Linked DNA regions of Schizosaccharomyces pombe. The protein of the gene in region 2 purifies or fractionates together with the protein of the main gene of each other region. This does not show direct contact. Each region holds a gene or a part of one and is shown on either strand. Other genes may lie near its edges.

Region 1 (5,905 bases), on a different chromosome or scaffold from region 2:
GCAATTGGCAACCAATGGAAGTTATATCGTTGGAACCAACCCATTTAATCAATGATATCGATGATGATAATGAAATAATAGAAGAAAAGAAAGAAACTGAAAAAGTTGAAGAGAGTGAGCTTGAACCTCGCTACACCCGAGTTTTTCGTGATGAAGACGACGATCAAAAGCATCAGTTAGACAGTGAAGCCATTAAATTATTAGACATTGCTGATCATGGCAACGAAGAAATTAGCATGGATAGTCAATTGGAAATCACTGGCAACATACTCTCTGAAACCGAGAAAATGGCATACGCTGGCGTATGTCGGCTTTTAATTTTAAAAATGGTTGATAAAATTGCATGTTTTACAACTTTGCCATGGTATCGAGGTGAATGTAAGGCCGCATTAGAAGACACCATTATGTGGGCTGACAAAACCACTTCATGCATATATGAACATCTCGGCGTCACAGTAGAGGAACAGAAGATGATAGAAAATCTTCACAAACATTCAGTCCAAATAGATGACTTGTCCAAGATTTTAGTTTCTGCCCATAGAGCTCAAACAGTCAGTAGCCTTGATGCAGTGCTTGTTGACGAAGTTGAGTCCAGCGATAGTCTAAGTAGCCTAGGGAAAGAGAAACCGGTACAAATTGATGTTCGTTGGACTGTGTTGTGTGATCTTTTTCTGGTCCTCATTTCTAAATCGCTTTACGATTGTCGGTCACGTTCTCTACTTATGGCTGTTGGCGAGGTTCTTGACATTAATGAGTTTGATGTTGCAAAGTTTGAAAAACATATTGTTGAAACAATTCAGATTGACGATACCGGCGAATTAGAAGCCGGCTCAAGTGCAAACACTGAAGCGGTCATGAAATTGCGGCGTAAAGTATCAAGGCGTAAAAAGTATATACTAATGGGCCTAGCAGGTATCGGAGGCGGCCTAGTGATCGGTCTCTCTTCTGGATTACTGGCTCCTATTATTAGTGCAGGCATTGGAGCTGCTTTCACCACTGTTGGCTTATCTGGAGTTGCTACGTCTGGTTTTTTAGCCGGGGGTGGTAGTGCTGCTTTAATTACTGCTGGCGGTGCAATTTCAGGAGCTCATATTGGTACAACTGGCATGGCTCATCGAAAAGCCGATGTTAAAACTTTTGAATTTAGACCGCTACATGCACAGAGACGAGCCAATGTCATCGTCACCGTTTCCGGTTGGATGTTAAGTAAAGAAGATGATGTCCGTCTTTCTTTTGCTACACTTGATCCTATCGTGGGTGATATTTATTCTGTTTTTTGGGAGCCCGAAATGCTTGCTTCTGCTGGTCAGACTATGAACATTTTGGCAACAGAAGTGGTTACACAGTCTCTTCAACAGGTATTGGGATCCACCGTCTTAGTTTCTCTAATGGGTGCCTTACAGTGGCCCTTGATATTAACGAAGCTAGGATATCTAATTGACAATCCGTGGAATAATTCTTTAGACCGTGCTAAGGCTACCGGTCAGCTTTTAGCCGATATGCTATGTTATCGGTCCCTTGGCGTCCGCCCAGTCACCTTAGTTGGTTATTCTTTGGGGGCTCGTGTTATTTACTATTGTTTGCGAGAATTAGAGAAAAAAAAAGAGTTTAGCATCATTGAAAATGTATATTTGTTCGGCACCCCTGTTATTTTTAAACGTACTTCTTGGCTTAAAGCTGCATCTGTCGTTTCTGGAAGGTTTGTCAATGGTTACAAAAAGAATGATTGGATCCTTGGCTATCTTTTTCGAGCCACTTCTGGTGGCATTGGGCGAGTTGCGGGTTTGCGTCAAATAGATTGTATTCCGGGGATAGAAAACATCGATGTTACTAATCTTGTCTCGGGACATTTGGCTTATAGAGAATCAATGCCAATTTTATTAGCTGCTGTTGGATTTGAAGTTCTCGATGAAGAAGTGGATTTGGTTTCAGAACCTATTCCCGAACCCTTGAGAGAACGACAATCTCAATTGTTGTATGAAATAGAAGCAGAAGAATGTCAAAATAAGCAAAAGGAGTTGATTGAAAAGTCATTAATGCAAAAAGGCCGCAGTTTGTCTCCTAAAAAATCAAATGCTTTTTTTGATAGCAAGAAAATAAGGGAGGAACTTAAGAAGGTTAAGAAAAAGTACGGATCCTCATTCAATAGTAGATGGTATTAAGATGTTTGAGTGCTATTATCGTGCAAGAATTACCATTAATATGTTTCTAATTTTTTACTATTTGCAATACCGGTTTTTTCATTTTTACGATTCTTATACCCCACTGTTTGTTTTTTCTCTAATTTATTCAATTCATTTTTTATTTTATTTCTTTTCTAATAATAATCATAATAAACTTACAAACAAATACAGACAAAAAAAGTTTCCCGATTATGAAATTGTTGATGATAAAAAAAGTAATCAGCGAAGTCATGCACAATCATTATCATTAATAAATATTTAGAAATTAAAAAAGAAAAGCAGGTCAATGATTCATTAATCGAGACATGATCAAAACAACATATGCTGTGGGGCTTGAGTAAAGTAACCTATTGCTTAACACGTATCCAAAGGTCGCGAATATTTGTAAAAAACTCTACATGAACATTAGCGTAATCGGAAATAGCACTAAGCATCTCGCTTTGACGAACGGAATCAAAAAGCTTAGATTCTTCTCGAACCCTTTGGTTGAAAGCGTCATGAACGGCAGATGCTTCTTGAATAGCTTGCTCAACTGCCTGCAATTCCGATTGTACATGTTCTAAGCGCTTTAATCTAGTATCGTTGTGATCGATACCACGCAAGTCGTCCAGAGTTTTGGATAAACTGAAACCATTAGAGCCGCCAGAAGATATTTTGTCGCGCTCTAAAGAAAGCTTTGCAGAATACTCTTGAAGTGCCTCGACATCCTGCTGTTTTTGATCGCGGCGCTTCAAGAGTTCTTTCAAGGAATGAGCGTAAGATTCAACGTCTTTAATTGTATCCAACAATAAAGTTAATTTTTCTGTAAGATTAGCATACTCTGTGCCAGTTTGTTGCAATGCATTCTGAATGGATTCAATAGGCACATCTAAAGCTTGATCCAAGGATGCCAATCGATCAAACTGAATCGAAACATCCTCATAATCAGATTCTAGAGCCTTCTCTAAACGTAAAAGCTTTTGAATGGATCCTTCCAAATTAGATATTCCAAACATAAACTGTTGCACATGGTCGCGTTGGATATCAAACTCAGTGGGTTCTTCCTTCAGCTTGGAAAACGCATTTAGCAAGGAATCCGAGATTTCGTCCAACTTCGATGTGTTATTCAATTTCGGCTGAATAAAGAATCGAACATAATTATTCCAATTTGGATTTTCTAAAAATGCAATGAAATGAGGCGATTGGTGCAGCACAGGATGAAGAGCACAACGTGTAATATAACGATTCAACAGCTTGGCTCTTCGATTTATGAAATTATCTGAAAACCGACCTCCTTTGATGTATTCTACAAAAAGTGTTAGTGACGAATCATTGAAAAGTCAAAGACATCGGAATCACTGCACTAACGAGTTTCTATTTAATTGCACGCATACCAAGTTTATGTTTAGCGGGAAGAGGAGGGACTACACAATCCTCATTCATTCGTGATAATATTTCTTGAAGCTTCACAAAATCAGAAAAACGACGACGAACCTTGCATTCCGCACGTGTGAAAATCGAAAGATTGGTCTAGTAACATAGAGTAAGCACATTTCCAAAAAATAATTCATCAGTTACTTTTCAAAAATAAGACTTACCTTAGTGATGATTAGATAAGATACATGAGTGTCTCGAGATCCCTGTAGCTCCTTTCTAGGTTCTGTAACTAAACATTGTAGAAAGTGAGTACTATTAGTTGAAGGTTCGTCCAAATTCACAGAATCAGACATGGGATGCTTAAGGATACTTCACAAGTATGATGGAATCAAATAAAAGGCTTAGTACGCCACTTCCAAAGAAGACGAATGTAAAAAATGCAATACGAAGGAAACAATACTAAATCTCAGTCGGTTTTCAGATGAATAAAATACGATTCAATCAAAAATTATTCTAGATGTTTGTAAGTGAATTTAAGTGTGAAATGACTTGAAATAATGATGTGTGTGTATGTGTGCTGGAGAGTTGTTAAGATGTTAGGTGGATTACTGGAATGTGATGGTTAGGTATGAGTACATACACATGATTGTTACTACATTAACTCAACTGGGATTTTTATGCTTCAAAAGGTTTTCCGAAAGATTTATGACAAATTTAGATTAGATTTTTAAAAAAGTTCTGTTCTTCGTACGAAACTGTTATTAGCAACAGTCTACTTTAGATTTACATGATGGTTAAAAAAATCACATTCAGAAAGTCGTCCATTTGCTGTTTCCTAAAGAATCAGCATATAATATAAATATCATTTTTAAATGAGGGTCTGATGGTAATCCAGAAAGCTTTACACATTTAAATAGTACTAGTAAGAAATGCAATTCCCTATTTCAAATTCTGTAGTCATATCGATTTTAGGCTGAAAGTTGAAAAAGAAGAGATTGCCGAACATTTCTTATGAGGAAGGATTTGTACTTTCTTTTTCGACAAAAGATGAGGTTCATATAGTTTAAAGCGTATATGTAGGATTGGGACAATTTTAATGAGCAAGCAACCATCCTTAGGCTTAATAAATTACCTTTCTACGTAAATTGTAGCCCATATCCTCAAAGTTACGAGCTTAGCAAGTCAAACTAACAATCAACCAACGTTGTTTTCCCACTGTACCTTATTTAGCATTCTTCCTAGGTATGTGAAGTACTTGAAAACAAATTGAGGAATGTTAAAATAAAGGAAAGCATACTTATTCAGGCTCTAAGCTTTACAATTAAAAGCCCTATTTTACCCCGTATATTTCAGCCGAAGATTTCTGTAAAAGTTTAAATGAGTGATTAAGTTATACAATTCCATGTATTTCGAGTCGTTGTATTCCGTATAATGCTTACATCTTGTCACTGTTGAATTTATTACTTTTTTGGATAAATTGATTCAAAAGAATGTGCTTCATAATTAGTTTTGTCGCAAAAAATTAAGTTGATTATCCTTTTTATTAAATTCCCTTAAAAGACGAAGCTACATACATATTTCTTCACATTCAATTTCATGTTTGTATGTTCCAAAATAAAATAAATCCAATATAATGGAGAAATAGTTTGCGATAACTTCTTAGCTTTGAAAGGATGATGCAAAAAGACGTAAACAAAATCGACCTTTCAGTCATTTCTAGGAAAATTAGCGCGAAATTTACGCCTTAAATTAAACAAATTTTTCTGGAATAGCTTTTAAAATAATAAAACAATTATTTGAAAGTTTTGCTCTGCTGTAGTGTTTCATAAGTGGATATCCAATAAATCCGATAAATACTCGTTTCATAAAGAGAAATTTGAAACATCTCTTTAAGTAAGCTTCACATGATTTTTCAAAGAGAAATTTAAAGGTCATGCATGAGAAACATTGAATTTCTTTTTTATGAGATAAAAAGTCGGAAAACTTTTGAGAACATACTGTTCGAGAAGACCGTTTTGAGGAAGTAAAAAAAAAGGAAAATCGTTACTTGTAGGGGTAGAAATTGTAGCTTATGCTTTTCCTTAATTTGAAGAGTATTTAGTAAGTTATTCCAATATATGTTTTAGGCAGCATTCAGAAAATAACAGTAGTCAATTTATCTCTTCTTAAAAGAATAAGTCTGTTTATATTTGTTTAAAACTCAGGTAACTATTCGTTTTTCGACAACGCTCAATATCATATATCGCTATCATCTATTATACAAAAGCATGCTTATCCAGTTCTACGCCTTGAGGATAACCCAATACCATATAGGATGAATACAACAAAGCGTATTTTAGCGATTCAGGTTGAAAAAATATAATTTT
Region 2 (9,462 bases):
GTTCACAACTCATTTGCTTATATATATTTTTTTTCGTTAATGACAAGATCTCAATAATAGTCGAAAGGTAATTGCATCGAATTTTGGATATACGGGATTTTCATGTCAGCAGCTGATTCTAATATTTTCAACAGCTACTTGCATTTGACAGTAGATATTACATGTATATATAGACAGTTTTACCATCACGCTATTTCTTGTGGACTTGGTGAATTGCCATTCTCGATTAACTTGTGCATATACTATCCGATATCAGATTTAAGATAGCGAGGATCGACATGGAGAGTTAATACTTTAAACCATGACGTCATGCAATGTATGGTTGAGCTGTTTCAACACCAAAAATTTGTACTATCCATCAACAAGTCATACGCGTTGAAACGATCTTTACCCTTTGACATCCCTTCTTTTAGAGATATTCAATTTTTACCGTTTAAATAGTTTTCAATGGCATCTGAGCGCGATCCTCTTCTGCCAGTGCATGGCGAGGGTCCGGAGAGCCCTTCTCGTAGAAATTGGAAAACTTGGATAAAACATGGAATTCTGTTAATCCTTGTTTTATCAACCGTTATATTTTTTTATTTTTTCTCGTCTCATAAGTCCAAAGGGACCAATGAGAAACCAAAATTTGTTATTATGATGGTTTCTGACGGTAAGTGATTGGAGTAAGCTCTCTCATAAATCCGTTGCTCTTTTGAAGGAAAATGATTTTTTTTATATTTAGAGCACTGGGACGGAATCTTCCTTTTTTTTACAATATTTCTCGGTGACTGACTTTTTTTAAAGGAATGGGACCTGGCTCTTTGTCTATGACTAGATCGTTTGTAGAGACTCTAAACGATAAAGAGGGTTATAGGCTTCCCTTGGATGAGCATTTAATTGGCAGTTCACGGACACGTTCCAGTTCGAGTTTGATTACGGATAGTGCAGCCGGAGCAACCGCATTTTCTTGTGCTAATAAAACCTACAACGGAGCTGTTGGTGTTTTGGATAATGAAAAACCTTGTGGAACTATCTTAGAGGCTGCTAAAGAAGCCGGTTACTTAACCGGAATTGTTGTCACAAGCAGAGTTACCGACGCTACACCTGCCTCTTTCTCTGCTCATGCCGCGAATCGATTCATGCAAGATTTAATTGCTGAGTACCAAGTCGGGATGGGACCTTTGGGAAGGAGTGTTGACTTATTGTTCGGTGGTGGACTTTGTTCATTCTTACCTAAATCTACTTATCGATCATGTAGATCCGATAACTTGGATCTTTTGAAATATGCTAGGAAAAAAGAAGGTTTCCAAATTTTGCTTAATAGAACTGACTTTGATGAGCTATCAAACGCTCAATTGCCTTTGCTTGGTTTGTTTTCTGATTATCATCTCAGTTATGATATTGATTATCAGCCTGAAGTGCAACCTAAGCTTTCTGAAATGGTAGAGACGGCTTTGGATGTTTTGCTCAACGCCACTAATGAAGATACATCTAAAGGATTTTTTTTGCTCATAGAAGGGAGTAGAATTGACATGGCCTCTCACAACAATGACCCTATCGCTCATGTTTACGAAGTTATGGAATACAACAGGGCCTTTGAAATAGCAAGTGCATTTGTAGAAAAGAATGGAGGATCTTTAATCTCTACATCGGATCATGAAACTGGTGGTTTGACTGTTGGTCGCCAGGTCTCCAAAAAATATCCAGAGTATTTATGGAAGCCGCAAGTCCTATCTCTTGCTCTCCATTCTATTGAATATCTCGCTTCAGCTATCGTGAACCATAACCAAAATACGTTGCTTCCTTATATTGAACAGTTTGTTTTACCCGCAATTGGCATTCCTGACCCTAATCCAAAGCAGATTCATGACATATACGTGGCCCGGCATAATATATTTAATCTTATAAACGTGCTTAGTGATATTGTTAGTGTAGAAGCACAAATTGGCTGGACCACTCACGGCCATACTGCTGTCGATGTAAACGTTTATGGAGTAGGAGAGGTCACTGAACATCTTCGAGGAAATATGGAGAACATTGAAATTGGACAGTTTATGGAGATATACTTAAATGTTTCACTAAGCGATGTAACTGAAAAGCTCAAAGATGCTCCCATACATGGTGCCCCAGATCGACCTAGTTTAGTGGAAACTTCATTTTCCGATCGTCTTGTAGGTTTCGGTGCTGATTTGTTTTAAAGCCTTTTAATCAAGATTGCCATAAATATATAATTTAGAATACTCTCATATATGCTCAGCTTATTTAAATCGCTTAATTATGGCATTCAAATTCTTTTTAAGTTAAACCTATTTTACTTCTTATCTTTTACTTTATTTAATTTCCACTGTGGTTGAGATATCCAACAATTGCGATTTAAGAGCAAACGAATATTACAATTATACATACAACTTGTCGCAATAAAGATAGTTAACATATCCATAACGAAAATATTATAATAATATTATAATAACAAACACGTTAATATATCAAATATCACAAACATATCGGGATATCATCCATATCATCCACGACAGCCGCGATTACCTCCCTTACAACGATTTTTTCGTAAACTTGAGAGAATGCCTCCATTGAGGCGTCAAGCGTTGACTTTAGCTGAAAAAAAAGCAATTAGAAAACATTATTTTGAGTCAGCAACTAAACCTTCGCAACAAGAGCTTATTAGTTGGTTCGAGGAGCACTTTCATAAAAAGCTAGCACAATCTACCGTTTCGTCAATTCTATCATCAAAGAACGAATTTTTAGATAATCTAGACGCAGAAAACTCTCAAATAAGAAGAAACCGCCAAGGAAAATATCCTATCTTAGAAAACGCCCTTATTGACTGGCAAACGAGGTTGCAAAAACAAGACGGAGCAATTACTGGAAACGCCATCAAAAAAAGCGCCGCAGAATTGTGGAGACGTATACCGGAGTACTCTGAGCTTCCGATTCCAGAATTTAGTAACGGTTGGTTAGAGAAGTTCAAAAAGCGTTGTTTAAAACACGGCCTTAAGTTACAGGGTGAATCTACTTCAGTAAATCAAGGAACGTATGAGGAAAACATGGTTCAAATACAGGAATTAATAAGTCTTTTTGATCCAAAAGACATCTTTAATATGGATGAGACGGGGCTATGCTGGAAACTTATTCCCAATCAATCTCCTGCGAGTGAACGAGTAAAAGGAATTACGAGAGATAAGGCTCGTGTCACCGTCACTATTTGTTGTAATGCTACAGGTTCTGAAAAGGCCCCTCTTTGGGTGATTGGATATGCTAAAAGTCCAAGGGCCTTTCGGCAAGCAAATGCTCATCCTGATTCCATGGATTTTCATTGGCGATATAATGGAACCGCTAGGATGACCACTTCCATTATGGAAGAATGGCTTCGTTGGTTTGACGATTTGATGAAGGGTAGGAAAGTTCTACTTATACTGGATAAGTTTGTCGCTCATGAATGCGCTTTGGAAAATATTCGCAATTCCGAGCGAAAGTTGGTAAACACGACTGTTGTTTTCCTTCCTGTAAATTCTACAGAAATTTACCATCCTTGTGGCCAAGAGATAGTCTACGCTTTTAAATCATACTACAGAAAATACTGGCTTAATTACATGCTTGAGGAGATTCGATTGGGAAAGAACCCCAGTAAGACAATGAATGTACTAAAAGCAGTTAGATGGATGATTCGTTCTTGGAACGTTGACTTTGAACCATCTATAATATACAATTGTTTCCTTCGTTCTGGGCTTTTTCAAAATCAGCAACCACTGACCGGTCCTTCTCCAGAAACCATTAGAATCGCGGTGAATTTGCAAGAATTGATAGGAAAATACCTTGGTGATAAGGATATTTTCCAAATCGAAAATTTTATTAACCCTATTGAAGAAAATTCTGCTGACACTAATGACGATATCGTTAACCAAGTTGCTGCTCAATTTCTTGATGAACGAGAGTTTGAAACCGATGAAGAAGAGGAAGAGTCACAGTATTTGTTATCAACAAAGGATGCGATAAATGCCATCAATACTTTACTAAACTTTCAAGAGCAATCGGAAGATGGAAATGTTTTGTTTACTCGAACATTACTTCAGTTTCAAAAGGTTTTAGAAAGCAGATCGATTGTGTAAAGGTTGTGGGAATTGGAAAATTTGTTTCTAACGAAAATGTACACATTTTCTATACTTTTAAATAATTTTTATAGAATATAAGAAAGATAAATAATTACAGTGAATTCTTAAAGGTTAACTACTAGACGTACTATTTCAATTAATGTGAGATTCGCGCTAAAAGCGTTTATAAACTCAATAAGATATATTGATAAAATAATAAAGTGAAGAATCAATTGTTTAAATTACGAAATTGAATTGGGACAAATTTTTTGTTTTGCGAAAAATAAGCATAGCGCAATGCATTAATCAACACAGTATGACTGTCTGTACTTGTCAACTCCAAACGCCATTATTCAGCATTGCAATTGAAATTGGACGTTGTGAGAAACAATTGAATGGATTTTTTTGAAGATAATAATCCATTCTCTGGCTCTGACAACAGAAGCGCCTCTTCTGCTGTCAATGTAGAGCCAAAAGTTGAGCCATCACAGCACCAGGGCTCTTCATCTGTCAAAGAGAATGCGATTAGCCAACCGAATGAGAGTTTTCAAAGTAGAAACATGTTTTTTCAAAAGGACGTAGATAGTGTTGTTGATTCAGCCCTCGATCCAAACGGAATTGTAATTACTGGAGCTATGAAGGCTGAGAGTGGATCACACATAGTATATATAATCAAACTTCAAGTAAGTTAAGGAAATTGGTTGATAATGTATTAAGTCGAACTATTCATTGTAGAATCCTTGCTTCATTCTTCTCTTTTGTTTGGAAGTATTGAAATGTTTGATTACTAACGGTTTTTAGGACTCAGAAATACACCATCGATATTCAGAATTTGCTTCTTTGCGCGTACAACTTAGCCGCCTGTATCCTACTTGCTTGGTTCCTCCATTACCTGATAAACATAAAATCATGGATTACTTGATAAACGTCACCAAAAACCAACGAATGTCTCGTATGCTCGAAGAAAGAAAGAGATTATTACAATTATTTTTGAGAAGGGTAGCACAACACCCTATTCTGGGCCTTTCAGAAGTTTTTCGAAAATTTCTTAGTCGACATGTATCTTGGAAGGAAGTATTGCATAGTCCTCCTATTAGTTGTCTCCCAAAGGATTTATTGAAAGCCCCACCAGCTGATCCTTCTTCTAAAGAGAATGCTGAGTTATACAAGGAGCTGCCTATTCCCTCTAAAACCCTTGTACCTCGTGACAATTATGACGATGTTGGGAAAAATTTTCTTATGCTTGAAGATACGCTACAGCAGTATTCAATAGTAGCACAAGAGGAATCCAATTTATTTAATCAAATTGTTTTATCAAACTCTAAGTATTGCCTCGCACACTCTACTTTGGGGGCAATGTTTAACGCTCTTTCGTTATCCGAGTCGGGAAAGCTTTTGACAGCACTGGAAAAGGTTGGACAAGCAAATGATCACACATGTCTTGCTAGTATTGACTTTATGCACAACTTTGTAATCGCGGTAATAGAACCGCTTCAGGAGCTTTCAAAAGACGCCAAAAATATGCGTCACATTTTTATCTTTAGAAAGATGAAGTTTATTCAACAGGTAATGGTCGAAGAGCTTCTCACAAGAAAAAAGAGCTTTCTTCATCTTTTGGAGCGCAGGGAGAGACATGCTGCTCGTCTACAACAGGCTATTGGTGAGGTAGATGGGGACGTAATACTCAATAGGGAATCGGAAGCTACTTTGGGTGTAAATAACGCTCAAACTTCTCGTTCAACTATTCCCGAAGAAGATCCCCTATTTAATGATGAAGAATCAAAAGAGCCGTCGGTTCCCTTGATGGGAACCGATCAGCCCTTGGAAAACTATCATGATGGAAATGGAGAGCAAACGGAAGAGTGTTTGCGGGATTTACGGCACAATCAAAGTCAAGATTTTGAAACAGTATCACAAGATACCTCTTTGACGTCAGTTACTGTTTTACCGCGCACGATTCGTGATGTATTTGATAGAATACGTTTTGTATTGAATGGTCTAACTGATAATAATGTGGAAGTATCGCGACACAACAACATCGGTAGGACCGCAGAAAGCGTTACCCATCTTACGGACATGCTCTTGATTACCACTAAGGATGTCGCATTTGTAACTGACAGAGTAAACTTTGAGTTCCAGCGCTACCAAGACACGCATCGTCAGGATTTAAACAGAATTTTAAACCGTTTGACCGATAGTCATATAGATTGGGCCAACCGGAACTTGCGAATCTGGAATTCCGTACAAGAATCATTGAAAACATATGTATCATAATTTATTGGTCCTAGATTTGGTTGGGTTTCTTTTTCAATACAATGTTTGAATATTTGCTTTCATGCTTTTCTTCCTATTCTGCATATTCTACCCCTAGGTGTTTTACTTCATTCAGGCTTGACCTACTAAGGTTAGAGAATTCCGGTACCCTTTTATAAACGTGCCATTGAGATTGCCTTGTCTTTCAGGTTGATTAGCACCTTGCTTGGTTTTTCTTCATGAATCTGTTTTTTTTATGATTATTTGTAATGAAATATATGAACGCCTATCTTCTTAATTGACCATCATCTTAAATTTGTACTGAAAGTAAGAGTCACATGTCGATCAGTATGTAATATATCGGTATACAATTGTTTGCCGTTTCACCATAATAAACTGGTAATTACTTCCTGTACTTTTATCAATTAAAGTTATTAATTTATTTTAATTATTAAAGCTTTTTAATTGCAATATTCGTCTTTTTTACTTTTCCATCATCATGTTAGCAATTCACACGGATGTAACGTTATATTATGTATATATATATATAATGTCACCATATTTATGCTGTCATCCGTTTACAACACAGCATCACTTTGTCTTTCTGTTGTGAATTGCTTTATTAACATAAATTAAAGGAATAAATCCTTTTAAGAATTGTTAATAAGTCTTTATTTTATAGATAGCTACAGCAAGTGTTTGTGCGTGATGAAGATATGTCATCAGTAATTTCATGAATTAATGAGGTTTTCCTTTTTCGACTGAAATAATTGAAGAAGGTTCATATTCTTTCTTAAAAAAAAAAAAACAATATTTTTAAGTTTCTAGTATTCTCTGGAGTCATCCATGGAATTAACGAGTGTAAAATTACTTGACATTAGCAATCGACATCTGAATTAGTTTTACGAGCGATTAAAAATGAGAAAAGAAAGGCCAGGAGTATTATTTAATAAAATAAGGTCTTACTTTATTTGTCCGGGCTGTAATTGTTTGCCTGACTGGCCTGTCACACTTCCTTGTGGAGGAACAGTCTGTCGGAAATGCTTTCGAAACGCATATTCTTCGGAAAGCTCTGGAAAAGTTAGTCCCTCAAGATGTTGCTTTTACAACCATAAGAAACCGCATTATTCTGTAGAGACCGAAGTGAAAGATGTGATCATTTCCAAAGTGGTTGAATTGATTAAAACTACAGAGTTTCAAATTTCTCAGCAGAGTTTGGTACCGCTGGAATTAAAGGAGGAAATTTGTCATGACGATTGTCTTTCTTCGTCACCACCTTGTACTTCTGCATTGACTGAAATTACTCTGCTGCCTCCCACTTTTCATAACTTAATACCTTCCTCATCTTCTTATGAGACTGCAGTAGCTGAATTTTTACATATGGAGGACCTATTACAAGAGAATGTTTCTCGAGAATTGGAATGTCAAATTTGTTTTGGCATGCTTTATGACCCAGTTGTTTCTCCATGTGGACATACATTTTGTGGCCCTTGCCTTATGCAAGCACTAACCCAGTCTCCTCAATGCCCGACTTGTCGTTTTGGGCTCCCATCTCCTGTTGTGTTGGAACATGCGAAAAGCCACTCTATTACCACATTTTTGCGAGATTTTTACCCAGATAATTGGTTAGAACGTCAAAAATCATGGGAAGAAGAAAAGGAACAGGAAAGTTGGCTTCCGTTATTTATTAGCATGCTTGCATATCCCAGAATGCCGACATTCCTTCATATTTTTGAACTGCGATACCACATCATGATCAAAAAATGTCTGGAGACTTCTAAGCGATTTTGTATTGCAATGCCTTTAAGAGCACGAAGTGATGGTCATAATGAGCATCGAGAGCTTCGAAATGCTCGTGGTCAACGTCTTTTTTGTTCTGAGTATGGTACAATTTTAGAAATTATCCAAGTCGAGCCTTTGATCGATGGGAGAAGTCTTGTAGAAGCCCGTGGTTCATATTGTGTTCGTATAATCGATTTTCGAGCTGATGGTTTGTTTCCGAGAGTGAAAATTGAAAAGCACTATGATACTCCTTTGAGAGCCACTCCACTCCAATTTCCTGAGCCTGAATATCTATTAATGTATGGTAATCTAAGTAATGAAGAATTAGTTGAAAGAATAGATGCTTTTTACATGAATGCCCGCCGAACATATGTTCATTGGGTTGTACCTTTAATCGATATAAAAATGGAGGCTAGACAGTCAATTGCTGACTTGTCTTACAAAATCACCAATCTTCTTCCTATCTCAGAGCTTGAGAAAACTCGCATTTTGCAAGTTGACAACCCGACCGATCGACTGGTTTTGGTTCTTATTTGGTTAACTCAACTTCAAGAAAGTTGGTGGTATCGTGTTGGAAGTGCTTGCACCATTGCTTGAGTTTTAATTGTAGTTGAAGTCGCGCGCCCTTTGTATGGGCCATAAAATATAGCCTTTGATTTACTGAAAGGTTATCTCGAAAACGATCAAAATACATCTAATTACCCTATACAAATGAGCACTTAATTCTTGGCATCTGAGAATATCTGGGGTTGATTGTCATGAATATTTCTTTGACCAATTTAAAAACACCCATGCCAATACAGCAAGAATTCTCTTTTTGTTTCACACTTTATTTAATAGTTGATGTTTGCAACTTTTAATATTTATTTTTCTTGATGGTTTTTTGTTTATTACTTTTTCACTGTGAAGATATTTTAATAGTATAATCCAAAATAATTTTGGTTTTCGTTATCTGCTGATGAAGTAGATTTTGGCATTATAGAGAAATTAATTTTCTGCTCTTACTAGTTCACATTTCATATTCACTAGTTTAAGAATACAAGTTTCAATTGACGAAGTGGTCTCTGTCTTTTTCTTACTTAGGCATTGGTTAAAGTAAATTTATAACCCCTTTTGTAATATTGCTAACATATGTGGAAAGGCACCTTTACTCCTCTATACTTGATCTTCAATTGATTTGCTTGGTGGGTTAGGTGAATACTACATATGAAGCATGGAGGCACAATAAATTATCGTTTGATTTTTCATGCGCGTTAACTAATTAATATGGAAATTACAAAATAATAAATCTGATGGTCTTCTCAAGGTGGAGCATTTGTAGAGCACTACTTAGTGTTGG

Evidence for each region. Proteins that work in one complex are often made in the same cells at the same time.
Region 1: the proteins of snx41 (region 2) and atg24 purify together in Schizosaccharomyces pombe (affinity purification with western blotting; one study listed by BioGRID). This does not show direct contact.

The regions. Positions count from the first base shown.
Region 1 is NC_003424.3:2,752,755-2,758,659, reverse strand, and holds atg24 (autophagy associated protein Atg24), read right to left. Parts: upstream 4,138-5,905; 5' UTR 3,893-4,137; coding exon 3,761-3,892; exon of another isoform or gene 3,693-3,760; coding exon 3,557-3,692; exon of another isoform or gene 3,469-3,556; coding exon 2,531-3,468; 3' UTR 2,280-2,530; downstream 1-2,279. Other genes in the region: SPOM_SPAC6F6.13C (uncharacterized protein), read left to right, coding at 1-2,162; SPOM_SPAC6F6.11C (pyridoxine-pyridoxal-pyridoxamine kinase), read left to right, coding at 5,854-5,886. UniProt on the Schizosaccharomyces pombe protein: Sorting nexin, involved in the separation or division of vacuoles throughout the entire life cycle of the cells.
Region 2 is NC_003423.3:4,175,510-4,184,971, reverse strand, and holds snx41 (sorting nexin Snx41), read left to right. Parts: upstream 1-4,423; 5' UTR 4,424-4,483; coding exon 4,484-4,771; exon of another isoform or gene 4,772-4,889; coding exon 4,890-6,362; 3' UTR 6,363-6,646; downstream 6,647-9,462. Other genes in the region: pho8 (alkaline phosphatase), read left to right, coding at 448-652, 787-2,180; cbh2 (CENP-B protein 2), read left to right, coding at 2,562-4,106; SPOM_SPBC14F5.10C (ubiquitin-protein ligase E3), read left to right, coding at 7,260-8,720.